Caenorhabditis elegans: one gene and its partner. The protein of the gene in region 2 interacts with the protein of the main gene of each other region in a pairwise test. Each region holds a gene or a part of one and is shown on either strand. Other genes may lie near its edges. The genes, in order: sem-5 and T20F5.6.

What was found.
Region 1: the proteins of T20F5.6 (region 2) and sem-5 interact in a two-hybrid assay, tested with the Caenorhabditis elegans proteins (3 studies listed by BioGRID).

Annotation. Positions count from the first base shown.
Region 1 is NC_003284.9:7,956,456-7,967,010, forward strand, and holds sem-5 (Sex muscle abnormal protein 5), read right to left. Parts: upstream 5,269-10,555; 5' UTR 5,258-5,268; coding exon 5,180-5,257; intron 5,130-5,179; coding exon 5,029-5,129; intron 4,858-5,028; coding exon 4,735-4,857; intron 4,688-4,734; coding exon 4,580-4,687; intron 4,532-4,579; coding exon 4,395-4,531; intron 3,896-4,394; coding exon 3,756-3,895; 3' UTR 2,998-3,755; downstream 1-2,997. Other genes in the region: sfxn-2 (Sidoreflexin), read right to left, coding at 1-67, 112-214, 265-392, 907-1,179, 1,265-1,426, 1,697-1,842.
Region 2 is NC_003279.8:3,916,229-3,929,398, reverse strand, and holds T20F5.6 (RING-type domain-containing protein), read left to right. Parts: upstream 1-4,236; 5' UTR 4,237-4,275; coding exon 4,276-4,345; intron 4,346-4,748; coding exon 4,749-5,048; intron 5,049-5,284; coding exon 5,285-5,473; intron 5,474-5,610; coding exon 5,611-5,701; intron 5,702-5,751; coding exon 5,752-5,824; intron 5,825-6,530; coding exon 6,531-6,743; intron 6,744-6,790; coding exon 6,791-6,943; intron 6,944-7,486; coding exon 7,487-8,711; intron 8,712-8,758; coding exon 8,759-8,829; 3' UTR 8,830-9,193; downstream 9,194-13,170. Other genes in the region: T20F5.7 (RING-type domain-containing protein), read left to right, coding at 1,518-1,669, 2,214-2,806, 3,423-3,562; T20F5.5 (Flocculation protein FLO11-like), read left to right, coding at 9,227-9,300, 10,132-10,267, 10,325-10,954, 11,293-11,436, 11,483-11,488.

The DNA of each region.
Region 1 (10,555 bases), on a different chromosome or scaffold from region 2:
TGTTGAAAGCTTCACAGAGTTTTGCTGAGGGAAGAGAGCGCATCCGACAGGAATCATTGCACCATAACTAAAATTCACATTTGTTGTCTAGAAATATGACTGCTCTCTCACATCACAAAAGTTAAAGCCAATTGAGTTGGAATGTTGAGTTTGTTGATATGCTTCCGGAATGAGGCCACTTTGTTCAAGCCTTCCATGATGACAGGAGTGAGGACTAAAATGAGGCATGAAGCATGACAGGAAAAGAGTAACGGCTAAACTCACTCATGCATGGGGCAACGATAATATTTCTGGAGAGAACCACCAGGGAGATGGCTTTAGCTGCGGCTAACCGGGAAACTCCAACGTTGTTTCCATCGGCATCAGTGACAGTCATACCTTCTTTGAGTTCACTTTAAAAAAATGATTTAAAGAACTTTTTGAAGAGTCAACATTTCCACTATTTAAATTCAACTCATAAAATTATACCCATATGCCAACAATAACGTGAAAAACCTCAATTTATAGGTCAACACATTTCCGAATTTTTTTTACGGTTTCTAGTTGAATACAAAAGTAGATGGTCTTCAGTTTACAAAATAAAAATACCATAATGGTTCAGCTGCAACATCATAGACAGCCTTATTTTAGAAAATCCAGTTTTTCATTGACCTCTCTTCATTATTAATAACTTATTGCATATAAGAAAAAAGTCAAAAGCGGAATGATTTTAGGAGTTTTACGTTTTGATTTTAATTTTGAATGGGTTTCAAAATAAATCACTGATAAGAAAGCAAACTTTAAATTTCTGTACTCCTAAATTTCAAAGCTTTCAGATTCAGGGCTACAAAGTTAACCTCGGATTAAAAACATTTAAAAACTTGGTTGAAACTAAAAAATACTGATTATTCTCTAATAAGTACTCACTTCTGACGCATCATAGGGATGTTAATAGCATTAGCCACTGCAACGGCTCCCAGTGGTACTAATCGTTGAGCCAAAGGACTGCTCTGTTTCTTAGCAAAATATGTTTTCAGCCCAATTGCCATTGCCAGTGCTCCAGACACTGCTGTAGAATACGATACAACTAAGTCTTTTGTTGTCAATGTGCTCTTTGCATTTCGATTGGTATAATTGACCAGTGCATTAAATGACTGATTTGCCCATTGCCAGAAAATTACAGCTGGCGTCGATTTGTACCTGGAACAGTAATTGGTTTACTTACTTTTATACTTTTACTTACTTTTACCTTTTAGCTTACTTTTAGCAATACTTTTTCACTTACCAGATCATCATTGCACCACACAGCATTGTACCACCCCAGACGTTGAAGCACATCCTTCCAGCAAAGTTCTGAAGTTCTCCAGTATCCGGATGAAAAGCTGATTGACACAGACGTTGCGAACGATGAAGTTCCTCAAGTGTTGCCGGCACTGGCTTCTTCTCTCTGTAAACGTTTTTTTTATTTTTGAAAAAATTTCTTCAAAGATATTACAAAACTGTATTTAACACAAATTTTGTGAAATTTTTAATGTTGCTTGAATTACTTCAAACTCAGACCCTTAAAGCTCTTATATCCGTTATTTCACTCTAAATACTTAAGAAAAAATACAGCTATTGTAATATGTAATTTAACTTTTTCTGATAATAAATGTTTTGGTTAAATCAAAAATTCAATTTGTTTTACGTGTACAGCCTAATATTAAAAAAATTATACCTGCATTTTTGCATTAACTCCGATGCAGTAATGAGTTCTGTTGTTGAAGAAAATGCAATCAGTGGATCTGTCATTCCAGCGAAATGCCGCAGTCGGCCGTAAAATGTTGATTGATCATATCGTGGCTGATCTGGGTCAAAAGCCATGCCTGGCTGAACAAAAAAACGTTTTTTTAGAAAGATAATCAATGGGAAAAAACCAATATACTAAATTTAAAGAAGGACGAAAACATAAACGAGTGAGACTGGCAGTTGCAAAGGTGCAGACAAAATACGAAAAGGGAGCAGGGATAGTGAGCACACGTGTTTAAACGAGACTTGACTTGGCTTTTGCGTGGCATAGAAACGTTTGGCTCATCTCGAGTGCCCTTGAAACATGATTGCTTTTTGCGTTTCGTTTGAGGTTTTCAAAAGTATTATTTTAAAAAAAGGAATAAAAATTTACTTTATTTTTTTTCTTTTTGAGCATAATTAAAACAATAGGTGAAACATGTTCAATTAAATTGCACGTTGCAGTTTTTTCCGTATTCATCAAAATAAATTCAGCCCGACTCCTTTTGGAAATTTAAATCCTGCCAATTTTGCTCATAAACAACTTGCATACATTTCAAATTGCGAATTTTTAAAAGGTTTTCAATGCAAAAAATGTTTTCCATGGAATATAATTACGTCAACTGAGCATCAAGCTTCCAATTGTCGTTTTGAGACTATAAAACGGTCTGTAAATTCGTGATATCACGAAACAACGAATATATACGGCTTTATATTGTTACGTTTTCTTTCAAAATTCAATTGTTAATCAAAGGTGTGGTAAAGCAAAAGACATTAACGTTGCTTTAAAAAAATTGAGAGCACTATTGCATTTTTGAGACTCACAAATTATAATTTAAAAAAATAACTTAAAATTTAGAATAAATTGTTATCTGGTATATCCAAGAAATAAGTAAAGACGGCGCGCTTTTTGGTTGAAAAAAAATTGATTTTTAAGTTCGAAAAACATACCACTTCACCTTTTCCGTTGACAAAAGATTTCACAACCCATTACGCTCATTTTAATTATTATCATTGACTCGTTATAGAATTTTAACTAATGGTTTAATTTCGTTTTTAGAGCCGTATAAACTTTAAAACTAATCGGAGAAGACTTTTATTAAAATTCGAAATGTCTGAGTATTTTGTTCAAACTAGCTTGCAAAATGTGAAAATGTCATTAAAGGAAACTCCACATGCAAAATTTTCCAGATAAACTACTTTGCATCTACAAATTATGTTCTGTAAAAATTATAGAAAGTGGATTAATATAATAATTATTAACCTTCATTGATTTACAAAGGGATTGGAAAATACTTGACAAATTCGATATAAAAGCAAGACGGCGAGTAAAGTGGGAGGCAGAGAGAAGCTTCATGATGCTCTCGACAAGAGATTGAGCCGGAGGAATAGAATGAAGTGATAAAACTATATCAGAACAGTGTGAGTTGTGATAAAACCGAACAATGTAGCACCGAACGAAAAATCGTATTGGTTTTGGATGAATTGCAAAATGTCAAAAGAAAAAGAGAGACAATGACGAGAAATGGCAAATAGTTATGACAAAAATTGCATGAACACAAAAAAAAACAAATGCGAACAGTCTCTGAGTATTGTGTCAGAGTATCTAATCGCTTAATAGATCCGTAATAGAATTGGTGTGGGGTTGGAAGAAAGCGGGAAAGAAAAGGCTGTTGATAACACAACAAGAATTGTATCATTGCCAACGAAACCGAACAAAAAATCGATAAAACATTGCCAATGGCAGTTCCAAGTTGCAAAGAATAAAAACATTGAAAATTCATGGTCTACATGTAAAACACGAACAACTTATCTCAGTTTTGAGAAAGTTGTGAAATTAATACCCAGCATTGGAAAGTGTGTTTGTGACAAGATTTAGTGATTATTATTGGAGATTAAGTAAGAGAGGGCTTATTAGACTACTATGTCAAGAACAAATGGTATAGAAGAAACATTGAACGCTCCTTTTAAAGAACGAACAGAGACAGGAAAAATCCTAAAATAACGTCCTAATTTCCAAAGTTGAAGCCAGGAGCCACGTTGGAGTTGCTCTTATTGCTATTGTAAGGGCATACGTAGTTGGATGGGAAAATTCCACGCCTGTTGTTCAGCTGTCCTTCCCACCAGTTTGGATCGTCTTTGTTGATCACTGAAAATAAAATATAAGAGATTTTCTAAATGTTTTATTTTTCGGGGTTGCTCAACCCCGACAAATAGATGATCAACCGATTAACTCTATTTTTACGTTGTGAACATTCATAATGCTGCAAATTGTATCTTGAAATCCAATGTTTCTCCGAAAAGTAAATAATAGCCACAGAGTTTTTTCATTTCAATTTGAGTTTATACAAAAACTAATCTAACAACTGATTTTCAATACGTGCATTTATTTGTTCCAGTGAAAGTTAGTTTAAGCAAGACGTCTCATATTATCTTCCTAGTACTTTGTATTACCTTTTTGTTATTTTTATGGTTCTTCTTAAATATTCTTGTTTTAAGATCTATAAAGTGAATAGTTTCAAAATTTTCGAAATACAGTCCAAGATATATCCATTTTTACCATTTTCAATTAAACCTAGAATTTTTTGATTCAAACTTTCAATTGAACATTTTAAAATCATGAAAATTTGTGTTTCAAAAACACTTACAAGTGATAACATCTCCTCTTTTGAAAGCTAGCTCTCCACTCTCCTGTGGGTTGAAATCAAACAGGGCCTGTACAAATTTAGTCTCCACATTCATATCTGACAGCAATATTGTGTGAGTACGCGAAACAGAAGCGGTTCTGAAAATTATTGATTTTTTACTTTTTTTTTGAAAAAGTGTGACTCACCTGTGATAAGCAACTAATTCATTCAAAGAGTTGAATTTGACAGCCCACAAGTAATATTTACCATTTTGATCACGCAAAACTTTGAAATGTTGTACAGAATCTTGGAATCTGGAAAAAAATGTATAACTTTTTGAAAATCTATAACATCTTCTTACCGAACACTGATCGAAAATTCTCCTGGACTACTTTCACACTGTCGGACAAGGAAATGACCATCACGTACGGTTGGCTTTTTCAGCAATACTTCTGCGTCATTTCTTGTTATTTTACCAAGGTACCTAAAAATCCAGAAATTTTAAAAATTGTTTACGCAAGCGTTCTCAGTTCTTCGCGCCCTAGCTGCGGGGTATACAAACAAAAACCGCGAGAAGTAAGATCGACTGATTTTTAAAATATAAGCTTATAGATTAAATCCTCAAAAAAGTCAAACTATTTTTTCCCGAACATACCAATTGCATTCAGTCATACGAATATAATTAGAAGGAATGAATCCTTCATTTCCATCCAATTCAGCTTTATACCAATGTGGATCTTCATCTTTGTTCAAAACCTGCAATTATTGATTTTATCAGGGCCCGGTTATGATATTGTTGAACAAACTTTTAGCGTGTTTCCTCTCTTGAAAGACAACTCATCAGGTGATCCCGCCTGGAAATCATGCTCGGCGACCGCCTCCATCGTCTCGCTACCTGAAATATACTCTTTGCAGCTTCAGAAACAATTAACACCAAAATAAAACATAACAGAGTACATTGAACAAACATTGTTGTCAATAAATTGGCCTGCTTGAGAGACTGTATCTACATATCGACATATCCGCGCGGCGCCAATGAAAAATTATTAGAGCAATAAAAAAATCTAGCGGCAAAGCATAGAGGAACAACTGAGAGGGAAAATGAGAATGAGAAGAGCGTAGTGCAAATTGTAACAGGAGATGAGTAAGAGGACCGGCGAGAAAAAAGAAGGATAAATGAAATTGAGAAACGCAGAACGCAAAATAAAAACCCGCAGGGTCACTAGTTCGGTGATTGAGGTGGTTTTAGTTGAGTGTTTGAACGTGAAAACGGGGAAACAGTGGAAACAGTAGAAACCGGAGAGTAACAAACCGGGGCAACACTAAGTGTCGTCGATTCCGGCGCATTGTATGCAACACTAAATGTGCCGAATGCTACGACACTACTTTTCTCTAATACTCCAAATCTATCACGCGTTCTTCGTGTCTCTTTTTTCTCTCCCATCTTCGCACTGTCTCTATCTGTCTCTCCCACACACACACAAAAACAACGGCGAGTTTGGGCAGGCCGGACCGTACTGTTTTCCGCAATGAGTTCTGTAATTTACATGGTTTCAAATGGAGATTCAGAGAAAAAAGTGCGATACGCTATCAGCAGTCATCATGCACGTCTTTTCTTACACTTTTGAATGAATGGCCGGAGAAACGGAAAAGAACAAATGAAAAGTGATAAGAGAACACGAGAAAACGAAGAAGAAAGAATCAAATTGAAAATGCTCCAAGGCATTGGGTATTGCAATTCATCGATTAGAAGAATGTCAACAAACACACTCCCACCTTGTCCTGTCCAGCCTGAGGTGACTAACCGTCTAGAAATCAAAACATTTGGGTGTGCTGGGTAGTCAGTACCGATTCTCTTTTCAAAAATAAAAATGAAAACTATTTCGGAAATAGGGCTAGAGATGATAAATTAGATAGGAAACATAAATAGATTGCAACTTCAATCAAATTTTTGAACTTCAGTTGCTGGAAAATTATTTAGCAGTTAAAAAATTTAATGAAAATTACGAAATAAGACTATAATTTAACCGATATAAAAAAGATAATCGAACCTGTGACAGTTACTCATAAATACTTGACATTTTAATCGGTGAGTGTACGTAAATATAATAAGGAATAGTGTTTTCTAGCTGGAAACCAACTGTATTTACTACTAGTTAGTTTGACAAATGTGTATTTACCTGACTAATACAAAATCGTAAGAACAGTATCTATAGTAAAACTAATATATGACTGAAATTAACTTTTTTAAGAACCAAAATATTAAATTTTGTCACTGGTTCTTTAAATATATCCATATAACTTTTCTGAAAATTCTCACTGTTTTACAGTGTGAACTTCCAAGAGCAAGGTTATGTGACTGATTTGTCAATAAATTTACTAGGTTCCGTAGTCGGCAACTCGTGGCCACTTCTCAACCTACTTTGGCCACTTTCTAACTGCCATTAGATTTCCACCACTTCCCACTTCTCGACCAACTTTCGTCAACTTTCACACACTTTTTCTAGTTGCTTAGAGCGTAAAAACCCTGTTTAACCAACTTTTGCCACTTTTGCAAATGACAGTTAGAAAATGGCTAAAGTTGGTTGAGAAGTGGCGCCGATTTACCGAATAGATTAACATTCTCAGTAAAACATTCTGAATTTGTATCGTTAACAGAAACTTAACCCAAATTTTAAATTTAGGGTTTCACTTCATTTAGAGGCTTGAAAACATTGCCTCAAAGATGTGCGACATATTTCTCTTGGAACATTAGATAAACTCACGAAATACCCATTTCAATATTGTTGGATTGCGCCTTTGAGGCAGTTTTTGAACACTTTCCTAATTCTTTGGAAATGAGAAAAAGGTTATTATCAAAAAACTAAAAATGCTTCTTTAAAATTTTATGTAATTTTTTGATTAAAAACTTCGACACAACAATAAAACTAGTATCTTGTAATTGTGCAGAATAAATGTTGAAAATTTGCGTTAGTAAAAGAAACGTTTTAGCATCGAACTCCAGAAATTTTAATTAAACAATTTAAATTAAAAGTTTTATTCTATTTACTGAGGGAGGGCGATATCACCAGAAACGCAATTTTAATTGGTACACAATTCATTTAGAAAGAGCAATATTATGATTTTTACGAGCTGTAAACAATTTTCATTTGTACATTATCACAAAAACAAAACGATAATGTTTCATACAGAAAATGGAACTCTGCATCGAAAGAAAGAAAACGAATGGATGCTTAGGGGATTACTCATCATCTCGGTTCAGAAACAGACACATTCATCTGTCACTTCTTCTCTTCCGAAAACTTATATTGACAACGATCTGTGTATGCATACACGCTTAGCTAAAAAGTGTTGAAATGCGCACTCCAGAATGATTTGGTTTGGATGCGAGATGAATCACTCTCAACACTAGTGCGTAATGTATACGGGGGGCCTTGCTTGAACACATAGAAATGGAGGGTTCTTGTGAATAATGGATACTATTGGGATGTCGAGAAGAATGAATCTTGCTGGTTTCATATTGCACCTATTTTACTAATTTCAAAATTTATTCCTACAACAAAAGTACTAGTTTTACTTTTTTGAAGTTGCAGTGCATGCTGATTCAAAATGGAGCATGCAGTGTTAAACTATTCATATGCAAATATAAATTTAAACGAATGTACATCACTTCTAAAATGAAATATCGAGAATGCACATGGAGTGTGAGAAACATAATAATCGCGAGGAGTGGCCACCAGCGACGACTATTCAATTTCAAATAGTTGCCGCGAGATAGGAGCTCTCTTCGGAGGAGCAAAATTTATGAGAAAAAGTAGCGGAGTTTCTTTCGTGGCTGGTCAGCGCGCTATTCTGATGTTTTTCTCGTTTCAATTGAACTTCATTCTGTGACAAGCAGAGTGCCACCTGTTTTTGTCAAAGTTCATATTGGAGATAGTGAGGAAATGAAGCGATTCGCTATATTGATTGAATTAGCTTTCAAGTGTCTTGGGGACATGTGGAGTGAACAAGCAATGTAGCATTTAAATCGTTCCAGAATTTTAGACAAACACTTTCATCCAAAAAAGAAAATAACATGGTTTTTAATAATTTGATATGGAACTTTAAAGTGAAGAAGCTTTCAACAATTGATTTCAAAAATTTCAAATAGAATGACAAATTGTTTCAAATTTCATTTTTAAAAGGAGGAGCAGACCCAGTGGGGAAACTGAAAAAAACACTCATGGTGCGAAGATGACCAAATATTATATTAAAACATTTAATTTTTTTTTTTTTGAAATTTTCCAACTTCGTTTCAAAAGGTGATGATTACTCAGTTTTTCCTACTTTTTTGGAAGTCGTCGAGCGAAAAATTTTTTCTCAAAATTCGTGGTCTACTTCTGTTTCAAATATTAATATTCAAACATTGCAGGGTTTCAAACATGCGACAGTGCTGTAGTTTTCTCGAAAAATGACAACAACTCACTAATTGCTATTTGTGACTGTCAGTATAAACTTGGGTACGATTTAAAACATTTTGTCGTATTTTAAGAAAATCATTAACAATGGATATATAAAAATGTTAGAAGTAATGTCGAAACTAACAAAAAACGGCAAATGGTATTTCTGGTCCCGTTGTATACTAATTATCACATTTCAATACGGCGTTTGACTGTCTGGCATACCCTAGACCACCTGTTGACAAAAATCGGCTTATAAGATCAGGATTGTGGCGGAAAAATTTGATGGCCAAATGTCTGTTGTGCCCGCGATATGTGGTAGGTACACGATGGTCAAGAAAGGCAAAAAGAGGGGGGAGAGAATTGATTTGTTCGGAAGATATGCACAAGTAATGACCCGGTGCCACGCACGCTGACACCCCCTTCATTCCGAGTGTTCATGACAAAAACAGAGGTCAGATGGATTGAGGGAGAAGGAAATGGACGGAAAAAATGGTCTTCAAGAGAGTGAACGTGTGTGTGTGTCTGTGTGTGTGCTGACGTTGAGCAAGTCGCTCAATATTGGTTATTCTGTTGCGTGTGGAGCGGCCGGAACAAGTCTTATGTCACATTCTTTTGACAACAGATTGGTTTTTGCTATGGAAAATACGCTTGAAGACAAAAATTGCTCTCAATGGTTTTCCGTGATTTTTGAATTTTTTTTTCAAAATGAAGTGTTAAAAATTGAACTTCTACTTTTACAGTTTTTAGGTTTACCTTACACTTCGTTGAGCTGAAAGCGATGAAATGCTTCAGTGAAACTTTTCTTCAATTTTTATATAGCATCAATGTCAAATTTTCTGAAAACTTTTTGAACTTTTGACTTTTTGAAAATAACTTTGAACAGTGTTGCAAGTTAGTGTTGCTAGAAGTTCCTAAATTCCAATTAAAATAATTTCTTTACTCGTATAAATTTTTTATGTACTTTTAAGTTGTTTTGAATGACAGTAATAAAGGTGTTTTGAACGGCTTTTTGGCAGCACAAGTTTCAGTTGTTTTTACCTAAAATAATTAGAAATATGGTATTTCTGTCGTTTACCAATGAAGTAGTCGTGCTAACCATTTAAAAAAATTGACACCTCTTTACTATTAAAGAACAATTTTCATTAAAAAAAAACAAAATAATTGAGCATTTGAGCCGACCTCTTATGAGCATATATTTGAACGGTTTTGGAAAAATACTATTTTTGTGTATCATTCGATTACACATGATGTTTGCTTTCCTAACGAAAGCAGTACTACTTCATGGTACATGACTCATTAAGAGTGCTCTAACCCAAAACAGTTTGTCATAAAAAATCTGTTTGAAAAATGTGTGAAACCATTGGAATTCGATAAGAAAAGAGTCAGCCAATAGTAACAAACATTTTGAAAAAGAAAACGAAATAGAAGAAAGGCGATGAGTAATTACCAGTGTTTCCAGGTGAGTGATACCGGTTGAAAAGGGGAAGGAACAATATAAAAAGAAGAGATGATTCAATTACTTTTTGCGCGTCCATCGTTTTGCAAATGTATAGGACATACAAGAAAACTAAAGAAATAAGGAAGGAACACAAAAAGTTTTCTTTGAATTTCATTTGAAATCCATTAGAAAAGAATTTCCCCTCCTACGCAAACATATACTTTTTCACTGGAAATGAAATGATTGATCTTTCTTTCTTCACATATAGGAAATAGACATTTATGCCCTGGAGCAGAAATAAC
Region 2 (13,170 bases):
TTTTTCTGACAAATTCTTCGTAAATTTCGAAAATTTTTGAAATTTATTCGTTATAATAATGTACTTTTCAATTTTTGTTTCAATATTCTTGATTTTTTCGAGCGAGAAGTGTAAGTGCCAAAATCTATAAGGTTTTCTTTGCCCGGAATCATTAGATAACTCTTTATTGTATCTTCTGAGGCCACATTCGATTCGGCATGTATATCTGCTTATTGACAACCTCACAGAGCTCGCCGTGGTCACTTTGCTTTGAAAGACGATCAAATGGCCTAAAGGAGTACCCAACAGTAAAAATGTTACTTTAATCTAAATTGATTTCCCCGAAAAATTCCCCATTAAGTTGCACTTTTTCAGAGACTATTTCCACAATTCCTCAAAACATGTGAGCATTATATTTCTTCAAACACATTCCTCTTTTCGTATCTCAGTTGAGAGTGCGTCCTCCTTGATATGTACGACAAAAAAAAATGTAATCCCCATGGTTACCAATTCGAGTTTTATGAATCACGTATATCTGCCAAGGGTACATCTTAATTTTCGACAGCTTTGACACGGAAAAGTTGAAAAAATTTGGGATTTTAGGCAAATTGCCGGTTTGCCGATCTGCCGGAAGTTTTGATTTTCGGCAAATTACCGATTTGCCGTTTGCCGAACATCAATTCACCGGAAGTTTTTAGAGCGATTTTTTATAAAACGGAAAACTTGAAACTGTGCCTTTTTGAAATTTTTTTCCCCGTTTTTTCTAGATATTTTCATAAAATTTGCTAACTTTTCCAAATAGATGTAGGAAAATTCATAAGATGCGTACAATTTTGCTGCTTAAAATTAAAATTCTGATATTTCTAAAAAAAAAAAAGAACAGTGAAAAACCACAATTTGCCTAAAATTTGCCGATTTGCCAGAAATTTAAATTCCGGCAAATTACCGATTTGCCGCTCACCCCTGATTCTGTATTCAAGTATTGTCCGAAAATTTCGAAATATTTGCATTAATTTTTTTTCACTTTTCTTTCTCACTCTCTCGTCTCGAATCCATCACTCTTTTTCTCTCACGCTCTCTCGGTATTCTAATTTCGACGACCTTACAAGCCCTCTAGTGATCACTTTCCTGCTTCGTTCGAGGTGTTACAAGAAACCTCAATGCAATGGGCGTGTCTTGGCATACTGTATTCTTCCTTATTTTCTCTCGGTTATCTCTCTCGTTATATTACCATGGCTGGGACTTTTTTGTCTTTTTTTCTTGATATTTTGACGAAAAATTTATTTTTTGGTGTTTTGGGACCAAAAAAATACTTTCGGTACTTCAAACACTAGTCGTGTTTTAAAAACAATTTTCTAAGAAAGTTCAACAAACCGAAATTAAATTTTTTTTGGTCCCAACCCTGATCTACACCAGAAAAATGGGTATAACATTTGTTTTTTTTTCAATTTATTTTATTTTTTATTTGCGTACTCCAGGAAACGTTAAAAAAAATTTAATAATTAGTAATAATAATCATTTTCAACATTTTCAGCTAAATGGCCGACAAACTTGCCTTCACCACAGCCGATCTCGTCACATGCCTAATTTGTATTCGGGAGTTCGACACAAAAACCCGCAAGCCGAAGGTTCTCCATTGTGGTCATACAGTATGCGAGGAATGTACTGATAATCTCAGAGATTTCAATGCGTTAGTTTTTGAAATACGGGCTTTTCCTTTAAAATGCGCAAAAAATGAAGAAAAATCGATGATTTTGGCGATTTTCAACTTTTTCTAATCTCCTCATTTGAAATACCGCGCTTTTTGCTCTAAACTCCGCCCATAAAACCGTGCCGCACTTTAGCTTTTTCAATTTCGACGCAAATTGTTATTTATTGTGTTGTTTGTCTATTTTTTTTTAAAGAAGAAACAGGTCATACATGTTTTAAAAAAAGCTTTTAACTGAAATTATTTTCAAAAACGGAAAATCTTTTAAAAGTCATTTATGACCTTTTTATTAATTAAAAATTATAGAAACAGCACAAAAAATAACAATTTTGCGTCGAAATTGAAGAAAAACGTGCGGCACGGTTCTATGTGCGGAGTTTACAGACAATCGCGCGGAAATTTAAGTTGATTGAAAATTCGCCCAAATCATCGGTAGTTTTTTTCAAAATTTACGAATTTTTTTGCGGTATTTCAAAATAAAATTGGCTCTAATGCAGCTTTAAATATTAATGTAATTTTTTTGCAGGCCCCTTCTCGTTGTTCGATGTCCGACGTGTCGTCAATTCACTAAAAGACCGGTGGCAGAATCATGTAACACGAACTTCCAACTGATGGGATATCTTGCCGAGAAGGAGAAATTCGAACGAGAGAAAAAGGCGAAGGGTGGAAAACCGAAAAAACCAGATCAAGTGCTCACTCTCAAAATGGCTCGAAGTAACCGAATGGAGATTCATGTTGCATCGAAAAAAGATCTTGAAGGACCTGAATTGTATCTTCGTAAGGATTCCGAAGGAAATACTCATATTGTTGTTGCTGGACTGACGGGATCACCAGCAGAAGTTATGAAGTTTATTACTGAAAATGGAATTAGTATTGAGACGGGAGTTCTGATGCCACAAGTTGTGTATGATGAGGGTCGCACACGTGGCGGGACTGAAAAGTTTGCGAAGGTTAACAGCATGGCAGCTGGTCAATCTGCTATCAAGTGCACAAAGCCACCGGTTAAACTCGAAGAGCTGGAGTTTCATAAGACATTTGAGCTGAAAGTAAGCGAGGAATCTGGATCACTTAAGATGGAGCTGGTGCAGAAAGAAGAAGTTCCGAAGAATGGATTTGGAGGTTGGTATAGTTTTTTAAGACTGAGCCTCAAGGGCGGTGTCGTCGAAAAATAGTAGAATATCGAAAAACAAACATTTTCGATTAAAAAATTCCAGATTTTAGATTGTTCGAAAAATAGCTTTTTAGAAGAAAATCACATTTTTTTTCTTCCTTTTTTTTTGAAAAATCAAAAAAAAAATTGTTTAGAAGTTAAAAAACAATTAAAATTTTTAAATCAAATTTTTAAAAAAGTCGAATTTTTTTCTAAATTTTTCAAAGCTATTTTCCAAAAATTCGCCACAAAAAGCGAAAAAAATATGCAAAAAGAACGGAAAAATTGACCAATCAGCTTTCATTTTAGCTGAAATTAACCCTTTTTCGAAATTTTTATCCGCTATTAAAATGTTTGAGATTTTTAGTTGAAAACTTTTGCTATAAAATTAGCCATTTTCGGGTTAATATTTAAAAAAATGCCGAAACATTTTATTCGAAAAAAAAATTAAAAAATGTAATCCTTCGAAGGGCTTCTGAAAATATTATTTTTCTTTAAAAACATCTAATTTTATTTTCCCAAAAAAAAAATCGAAAAATCCCCCTTTAAATCTATATTTTCAATTTGAAAAAATCAATATTTCAGTGTTCGAAGGATGTATGACAAAACCATCTGCAAAACGTCTCAAAGAGTTTACCGACAGTTGTCCAGGCACTTCAGCCGAAGATGAAGTCCAAGTTATCGAGCCGGAGCCACTTCCAAAGCGTCGCCGTACGAGAAAATAGAATAACCTTCTCGAAGAGATGACTAGAAAATAAATATTCGGGCTTTTCATAATTCTCATCCGCTATTAGTTCTCAAAATTAGAAGTTTTAACCTCATACAAAATGATCTGCATGAAAATATTTCACATTTTATATTAAGTTTCTTTTCTCCTCCACACATTCTTGGTCTCTCCCACCTCCTCCCCGTCCCCCCTCAGCTCTTTCTTTTATCCTGATTAATTTGAATGTTTTTTTGATTCCACGTGTTCTCTTCCGTATCATTTTTCTATTTTTATTTATTACTGTTCCATTCCCCAAATGTTTTTTTCTCGTTTCGTTTCGTTTTCGTGCTCTTTTATTTATTGCTCGAATATTCGAATCGGATAGTCTTTGAGAACCCAATTTTATAAATGCATTCATTTACCTTTTTTTAAATTTATTTTCTGGTTTCTCACGTATTCTGTCGTGACTCCGTTATATTTGTATTCACTACTGTATCAGAATTCTAGGTAAATTTGCCTTTTTTCGATGTTTATAAAAATGAGTCGGCATTAGTACTGTGATTTTAAAGGTACATGACGAAAAACGACCACAAACTTTTACTCCGCTGCGAAACCATTTCGCACAAGCGTGTCCGCTCCCTTTAATGTCCTACTGATTTTCTTTTGAAATTACATTTCTTTCAAGTTTTTCAGAGTTATTTCCTTCAAAAATACACCGTTTTAATTTCTCAAATGGATCCGTTCGACATTGATGGTTTGAATGTTCGACTCCGTGACCTGCAAAGACAATTGCAAGACGACAGTAAGTTACTGAATACGAAAAATTTTGAAATTCAGTTTCCAGCGATCAATACCTGTTGCGCCACGTTGTTGCAACATTTTTCACTTAAAATAAGTGTCAAAATATGGAAAATCTCTCAATTTATCTGAAAATAACCTTTATTTCAGCTGAAGCATTTGAGAAAGTGCTTAAAAATGGCCTGAAAGGTGTCAATTGTCGATTATCGAATTATAAAACTTGAGCTTCATTTTTCCACACGTTTTCGAATGTTCAGGTGTTATTTTCAATTACATCAAGTGATTTTCTATTTTAACGCTATTTTTAATGAAAAATGTTAAAATAATAATAGTGCAATAGGTAATTTTGTAGAATTGCCTCCCACTCGTCCTTTATTTTAATCAATAAATAATATTTTTTATTGCAGTGGAAGAGTTCCGAGATATGGCCCAGATGGACGATTTTGCTCATCCGTTTGGAGGAATAGATGCAGCTATCAACGTCGATGATCCAGTAGATGATGCAAATAACGATGAGCCAGCAGCTGGAGCTGAAAATGTTTTAGACCGGGAAGATAATCAACCTCAGCCGGAAGCAGTTGCCACGCCTGACGTTCCGAAGGCAGAAAATGAAAAAGAAAAGGAGGATGAGGCGGACGATACAATTTTAACGTCGAAGGGCACCGAAATGAAAGGATTGTCGTGCGGAATCTGTTATGACCCGTTTAGTTAGTAGTTATTTGTTGAAAAACATTTAAAATTAGCCTTGACTTCAGAAAAACCAGAAAAAAAACGGTAGAAATCGCAGAAGAATGAAAAATTCAATTTTGCCTCAATTTGGAGCAAATTTGGTCAAAATTGAAAAAATCGTAAATTTTGTTTTATGGTTTTTCTAATTTTAAGTCGATTTTTAAATTTTATTAAATTAAAATCCCTTTAATCCCGCTAAAATGTAAATTTTCAGACACCGGCAAGCGTATTCCAAAAGTGTTTCCATGCGGTCACACGATTTGTCTCCAATGTATCAAAAAACTTCTCAACACCAGAACTTTTCTCGGCGGAAACACAGTCATCTGTCCATCGTGCCGACAAAATACTCGCTACAGCTTAACCACCCCGGCCGATAAGATTCCAACTAATTTCTGCATTCAATGTGAGATTTTATTTTAAAATTTGGCTTCAAAAATCGAAAGTAGTTCTGAAAAACGAAAAAAGTTGGAATTTGAGACTATTTTGAAATTTTTTGAAGCCAAATCCCTTAAAAAAAACAAAAAATCGATTTTTTTTCAGCATTGTTAGAGCAAAGACAGCAGGAGAAATCAACAAAAGAGCCGGAAGCTGTGAAATGTACCGAGTGTCACACGACAGTGAGCGCTATTGAGTAAGATTCTTTGAAAAAAATCGGTTTTTAATTTATATGAAAAATTTCAGAGCTACAACATGCTCAGACGAAACGTGCCAGAAAGAGATTTCCGAGGAAGAATTGAAGAATGTAGACAAAATTGTAAGTTTATATTTAACGGAGGCTTATGATGTTAAAAACGTTTAAATTATAGAAAAACATAGAAATTTTCTGAATTTTTATGGTTTTTAGAAAAAATTTTGCAAAAAAAAATTCTGAATGGCTGAATTATTTTTGAATTCCTCAGAAAATGGCCTTTGGTTTTTTTTTCCATTAAAAAAATAATTTGTAATTTTTGAGATATTTTTTGGTAAAAAACTTGATATCCGGAAATAAATAGCCAAAAAAAAAATCGAAAATTGAACATTAATTCAAATTTTTTCGCGGAAAAATGCCACAAATGGCGTATATCTAGAAAACGCAAAAAATATATACGTTCAGGTCATTCTTGAGCACTTCCTCCAATGCTTCAGCAGAAATAAATATTATTTTCAGATAAATCAAGTGATTTTCTACATTTTGACACTAATTTTCAATTTAAAAAAAATCTGGGACCAAAAGTGTTTTTCCTTTTTTTTTCAGAGAAAATCGAAAAATTTGAAAAAAATAATAATAAAACCTTCAGGAAATGACCCTTAAAATTCAACTTTTTTGATCAAATTGTGTTTACTTATGTTGCTGAAAAAACATAAAAAGGCATATAACTGTTTTTCTAAAAAACAAGAAAAATCACCCAAATTCTAAGATATTTTTCGAAATATCGGAAAATCGAAAAACCCCTAAATTTTCTCTATTCCATTATTTCCAGAAACGTCCGAAGGAAACCCTCATTTGTCGTTCGTGTATCGAAACGAATCACTCTACCCACATCTTCGTCTCATTTAGCAATGTGGCTGCTCAATATGAAGCGAATAAGAAGATTCTTCTAGCTGAATCATTGCTCAAAAAGAAGCTAAAAGCTGTTGATGAGGCGCTTTTAGCGTTTGACAAGACGAAAGCTGAAGCAATTGATCATCGACGAGTTAGTTTTGATATTAATTCTCCAAACGAAATAATTTATTTTTTCAGAGAATGGCAAATGCATTGGTGAATATTAGAAAGGAAGCAGATCACCCGGATTTCTACGAAAGCTTGAATAGATTTATGAGTTCTATGAAATCATCTGGAGAGTTGTTCAAGACGTTGAGCAGCGATTTGGATAAATTTGAAAATTCCTCAAAGGTATCCTTATCAAATCATCTTATTATCAGGGATATTGCAATAAAAATTTAGACCAAAAACCAACAAAAAATTGTCGAATTTTTCATCATACCAACTGAAACATAACATTTTTGGAATTTATTTTTTTGCCAAAAAACCATAAAGCGAAAGCCCTGCTTATTATACTGTTGCAAAAATCAGCGTCGCATAGAAAGAAAGGCGGGGTGTAATTTTGCAACCCTGCGGCACGGTTTTTCTCCCTTACACTGATTTTTGTTTAAAATAATTTTTGTTATGAAAATATTATTGTGAAGATATTTCATACCAAATTGGTTGTGAAAACATGGAATATCCTCACAATCTTATGAGAATTAATTTGGAATATTTTTGCATTCGAAGAAAGAAAATAAAACAAGTTTAATCGAAATTTTATTGAAAAAAAAAGAGAAAAAACCGGCCGCAGTGTTGCGAAAAAAGCCCCACCTCTCTTTCTGTGCGACGCTGTTTTTCGCAAATTCAGGGATCGGTCATTTAATTTCAACAATAGTAATAATTATCTTTCAGGCTCGCTACCATCGCTCGTTCGGTCGTGATGTTCTCCGTCCAAGTGCTTTTCCACAAGAGACGGATGGTTCCAAACAAGAAGTGAAGCAAGCACCCGCCCCTGTACCAGTTCCTCCGGCACGACCAAGACCTGGCCCAGCTCTCAATCGTGAGAGATTCCGAAGACTTGGAGCAGTTGGTGGTTTTGTGGTGCCAATTGTTGGACGGGATGCAAATGCTCCTGGAGGAGTTCGACATTTGGCGAATGAAATCGACGAATTCTTAGCACCAAACGATCAGGGCCTAGCGGCTCATTTTCGACGAATCTTTGGAGATCTTCCGGACGATGATATTGCTATTGATGTTCAGATTGCTGCTGCTGCTCCAGCTGGCGATGCTCCCGCTGCTGGTGGTGGTGATGATGCTGTAGATGGTGCTGGTGATTTTCTTGGGCCTGCTGCGGATCTTCGTTTAGCTGGTGCTGCTGGGGCTCCACTGAATATTGCTGATCGTATGTATCGAAGACATCGAATTGCTGCTCGAGCGCAGTTGGCTGCTCCTCGCCGTGCCAATCGTAATGGAAACAATGTTCGAGATCTTCGAATGGTTCGTCACCACATTTTCCGTGCCATTGCTCAGAATCCGGGATTGCACAGGAACGATGCGATTCAACAGGCTATTGACGGTTTACGAGATTATATTTGGAATCTCGAAGGTCCGTACGCAAGAAATCCTTTTGAATTGGATCAAATTGATATGAGACGTGATTTGGATAATGCACAACAAAGATTGAATCAGTTGGGTGCCAGGCTTCAAGAACTTGAAGGAAATCTTCGAGCAAGAGACGATCCAGCTCAGGATGCTCCATGGCATGATGTAGTTGTCCAAGAACCTCTCAATCCGCTCCCACCAATTCAAGGAATCGAGCAAGAAGTTGCAGATAGAGCTGAGATAGCAGAACTTGTCAATCGAATCATGGGAATGGTTCGCAACGAGGCAGAAGCCGAAGCGAATGCAAATGGACAGCGTGCACCGAAAAACATTGAGATGCCTGCACTACTCAATCCAGACGCCAATCCAGATGCTCCAAACTTCAAAAACTTGCAGCCATTGCAAGTTCAACCATATCTTCGTGACTTGAGAGCTTTAGAGCTTGAATGGATTCAGAAGGCGCAAGACAGAAGAGCTCGCGGCGGTGCTCAACCACCTGTAGAAGATGTGGAGCAGAATCCTGTGGTGGAAGGAGGTTAGTAATAGATTCATTTTAAACTTTTAAATATTTCATGTTTTCAGGCACAGACGCCCAACGCCGCGCCGTGTCGCCTACCCAAGACGAGCCTGCTGCAAAGAGAAATCGTCAGTAAACTGGTCTTATTAATTATTCTTTTTCAAGTCAATCTTAAATATTTTATTTATGTTTTTTCTTCTGTAACTCCCCCCTCCCAATTCCTGTCATCATTATCATTATCACCAGTGGGATTGTACCCTTTTTCTATTCTCGTGATCGTATCTCATGTTCATTCCGACTACAGCTTTTATATTTCCAATACTATTTGTGAATTCTAAATAGTTTAATTTGTTCTCTTCTGTATCCGCTTATCATCAATTCAATTTTATTTAGAAATAATTTCAATGAGTGTTTAAAAAACGCGTGAACCCTTTAAAAAAGAATCTCCCACTAGTTCCACAGATCGTGGAAATAATCAGTTCTCAATAAGAAGTTTCTTTATTTTGTCAAAACGTTCAATTATCATCGGCAAAATGAACAAGACACTCGTTTCGACGACGACTGCCAGCAATACTACGATAAATAGTGCTGATTTGAGGAAAGAACTGTGAGTACTGAGAGAATTGAGTTTTCAGATTTTATTCGAGCAATAAAGCTCACAGTAACGTTATTGCGCAATTCTCTGTAACGCGGACTTAAAGGCGCGGGGACATGCTCGTAAGGGTCTCGCCGCGAAAAATTTGAATTGTACTTAAGCCGTGCTTTTTCATTTATCTTTTTTCTCGTATGATTTAAAACCTGCGAAATTTATTATGGGGACGCAGAAAAATGCCCCTTTTGAAATAACGCGCCCTACTGCCAATTGAAAACGCTCCGCCCGCAAACCATCGTTGGGTATTTGGCGGTATAACCGTTAATTCAATCAGCTTCAATGAACTTCTTTTTTAAAAGAATTTTATGCCGAAGTTGGCGAAATAAATAGCATTTTTAAAAGTTAATTTCGGCATAAAAGACAAAACCGAAAAATGCTTTAAAATTGGCAAAACTCATCGAAAATGTTGAATTTACGACTTTGCAGCCACTTACCTAACGAGACCCATGGTTCGGGGCGGGGCGTTTTCGATTGGCGATGGAGCGCGTTTCCATTTCGATTTCAAAGGGTAATTTTTCTGCGGCTCAATAATAACAAAATCGTCGAAAAAACTGAACGTTTTTCTGCCGGAATTCCAAAGAAACATAACAGCTCGTAATTCAGAAAAACGCACAATAATTAACGATTCGTGGCGAGACCTGCCTTTGCAGCTACATAATTGTATGCATCGTACTTGACGCGCAAATTCAAATATTTAGTGACGAAAACATACACTAAAGTGGTTTCACTAAATAATATAATAAAACCTAATTGCACTGAAAATAACTAAAATACTCAATTTTTCAGCGACAAAATCAATGAAACCTTATCATCAATCAGCGCGAAAGAGGTCCTCTTCATCATCACTCTCAGTTTTTTGGCAGTTTTTGCCGCCGTCAATATGTGCCTTTTGATTCTGGAAAGAAGAAAGAAAAAGAAACAGGTGAGCAGTAATTCCTACAGTATAGCGAGCTATTTACCCAACAACACCTTTTTTCAGAACTCGGTTCCCCAGTCCATCGTAATCCAGCCGAATAATGCGAAACCTGTCAGTAAGCCGGGCAAAAGTGACAAGTCAAAAGTTTCATCTGGATATGAGAAAGATGTTCTTCCATCGAAGTCTATGAAAATGAAAGTTTCCATTTCGCCTGATAAATCTGCTTCCAAGAAGTTGCGTGTTCCATCTAAAGAGTCTGAAGACACTCAGCCAACCAAGTCAGATGCATCCCAAACTGAAAAGTCAACAAAGAAGCCTCCAGTGACTCTTGTTGAATCTTCGGCCGATGTGACTACCGCCGTTGAATCGATTTCCTCACAACAACAACTCGCTCCAGCTGCTCCAGTGGCTCCTCCGCAACTCACTCAAGCTTCTCCGGCTCCTGTTGCTCCAGCCGTATTAGTCCCGGAAAAGGAGAAGACTGCAGACAAGTCTCAATCGAATGATTCATCAATGACCTCGTTTACGGTACCAGAAGAAGCCACATTCAATCGTTCAAAGAGCCAAAGTACTGCACCAAAAGAGCCCACTCCAGCTACTCCAACTGCTACTACTCTCTCCGGAACTTCATATGTCAGCACTACAGGAACTCCGGAAGCAATCAATGTGATCACTGCTAAGGATGTCACCCAGGTATCTTGAGAGAAGCCTGCGCCTACATGCCTACCCAGAAATCCGTTCCTTGATGTTTGCAGAGTATTTTGTATTTCAAACTAAAACTTCAACCTAGAAATAGAGAAAAAAAATTGAGCACTGTAAGGCAGGCATAGATTGCCTTGAAAGGAGGAACCCTTTAGCCTTATGGTGGAAACCACTTACCTTTTGGCTTCAGTTTTGAACCTCTCCATTGGTTATTGTAGTTTTTTTTTTTAAATAAACCTTCTGCCGAGTTCTGCTATCCTTACTTACGAGTAGAACATGAAAAGAAAATTTCAGTAACACAAATATTAAATTAGTATTAAATATTTCAGGTCAAGTCCCCAATGTCCCCAATGCCCTCAATGCATACCCCAGAAGCCGCCCGTACCACGGAAATCCGTCCGATCTCTCCGGCTCTTCCATCTGCTGCTCCACTACTCGTTATCACTACTCCACCACCAAATAGTGAGAAAAAGGTGAGAAGTTACCATTAGTTAAATGTTTATTATCGTTTATTTCAAGATTTGAGGTGTTTTCAATGTTTCCAACTGGATGCGGTTCGTGTGTCTGAAGAAAATCGTCGGTTCTCAAGATCTCTAGTTTATTGTATTTTTGGCTTTGAATAAAGACATTTTAGTAGTTTTATTGGTATTTCACATGTTTGCCTACCTGCCTTCAATGCAACCTATGCCTACCTCAAGCCTACACGCGTGCCTATAGCTAAAGAAAATAAGCGGTCACCTGCAGACTTGCCTGCGTACCGTCTGAAGAGGAAAGAGAGGAGCGGGCTTATCAAAAATAAATCAAGAAGTTTTCCGCGTTGATACAGGAATGCCTGCCTTTAAGGTAACCTACGCCTGAATTCTGCCTATCAACTTGCCCATCGCTAAACTGAACTTTTCATTTCTAAATTAAATTTTAAATAAAACGCAACAATCTACACTGCCAATACCAAGCACAGAATTTCCGCTAAGAAACTGAAAACATATCATAGGCAAGCAAAGAGGCATATAGGCCTTAAGACGTGCATGTTTACCTTTAAAGCTCTAGCGGAGCAGGTGCATCAAAAATCCACAGAACTCTGCCTGCTTCCGTGTCTACTTCTAGAGCAATATTTTTCATTTCGAATTCACTCCAAATTACTTGAAATTCATTAATCTAGACTGAAACCGCACTAGGAGGCGATAGGCAGGCATAAGATAATCCCCGTCACTGCATGCTTCAAATAACACTTGAAACCGAATTGGAAAAAAATTTCTACAGTACTCTTGTGTATGCTGCCAATGTACTTGAAAAAAATAGTGCTTCACAAAATAATAATATTGCAATTTCCCCTTTATTTCATTGAAATTTGAATGAATGAAAAGATAAATTCCTTTTTTTTCCATCTTCATATTTCAATTTTGAAAGCGTGTTTCTCGATTTGATTCCAAATCGCGGCAGGCTTCATCTTCTCCTTTTCCTTCGTCTTTTTCGCCGTGTGGTATCTCGTCATTCAACATTCCTGCAACAATCAGGAGGCAACATTATCGAAATATGAATTATGTCTCGAAAGGACACTCTCTCTCTTAGAATAGGCCGGAGGGGGCTGCTTTCACTTGTTGCCGATGAGAAGGAGAGGAGGCCTTCTTGTTTCCGTGTGTGTGAGTGTGTGTGGCCCAGTCGATCAGCTGCCTGATTCCTCAACTTATCATCATCATATTATCACCCCTTGAACAATACGTTATCATCGTAAAATCCTTTTTCTTTGTTTTATATTTGTCGCATTCCTTCCTTTCGATCTGTGATTTGCATAATTTCAAAAAAGGTTTTTACCTTGTAAATTTCTTCCAACAAATCAGGCTGTGCCTTTAAAGTAACTTGACACACTTACCATCATCACTACATTTGTTCACAGTTTATTTCCTTTTGCAAGGCCGCGAATCGGGTTCTATCCGACTTTTTTATGTTCACAAAGTTCCCTTCTATCTACAGTTGACCTGGATCTTCATTTAAAAAAAATTCTGTTCACACATAATCCATATGCATCATATTTTACTATAGAGAACTATAAAATATATTTGTAACCCAAAAAATAAATTTCTAGATTTAAAAAAAAAATTTTCAGTTGAAGTTTTTGGTAAACTGCCAAATTTTCCAAATTACTTTTTGAGTAATTTCGAGCATTGCAAACTATTTTTTGGTCGACTTTCAAAATAACTAAGTTTGCA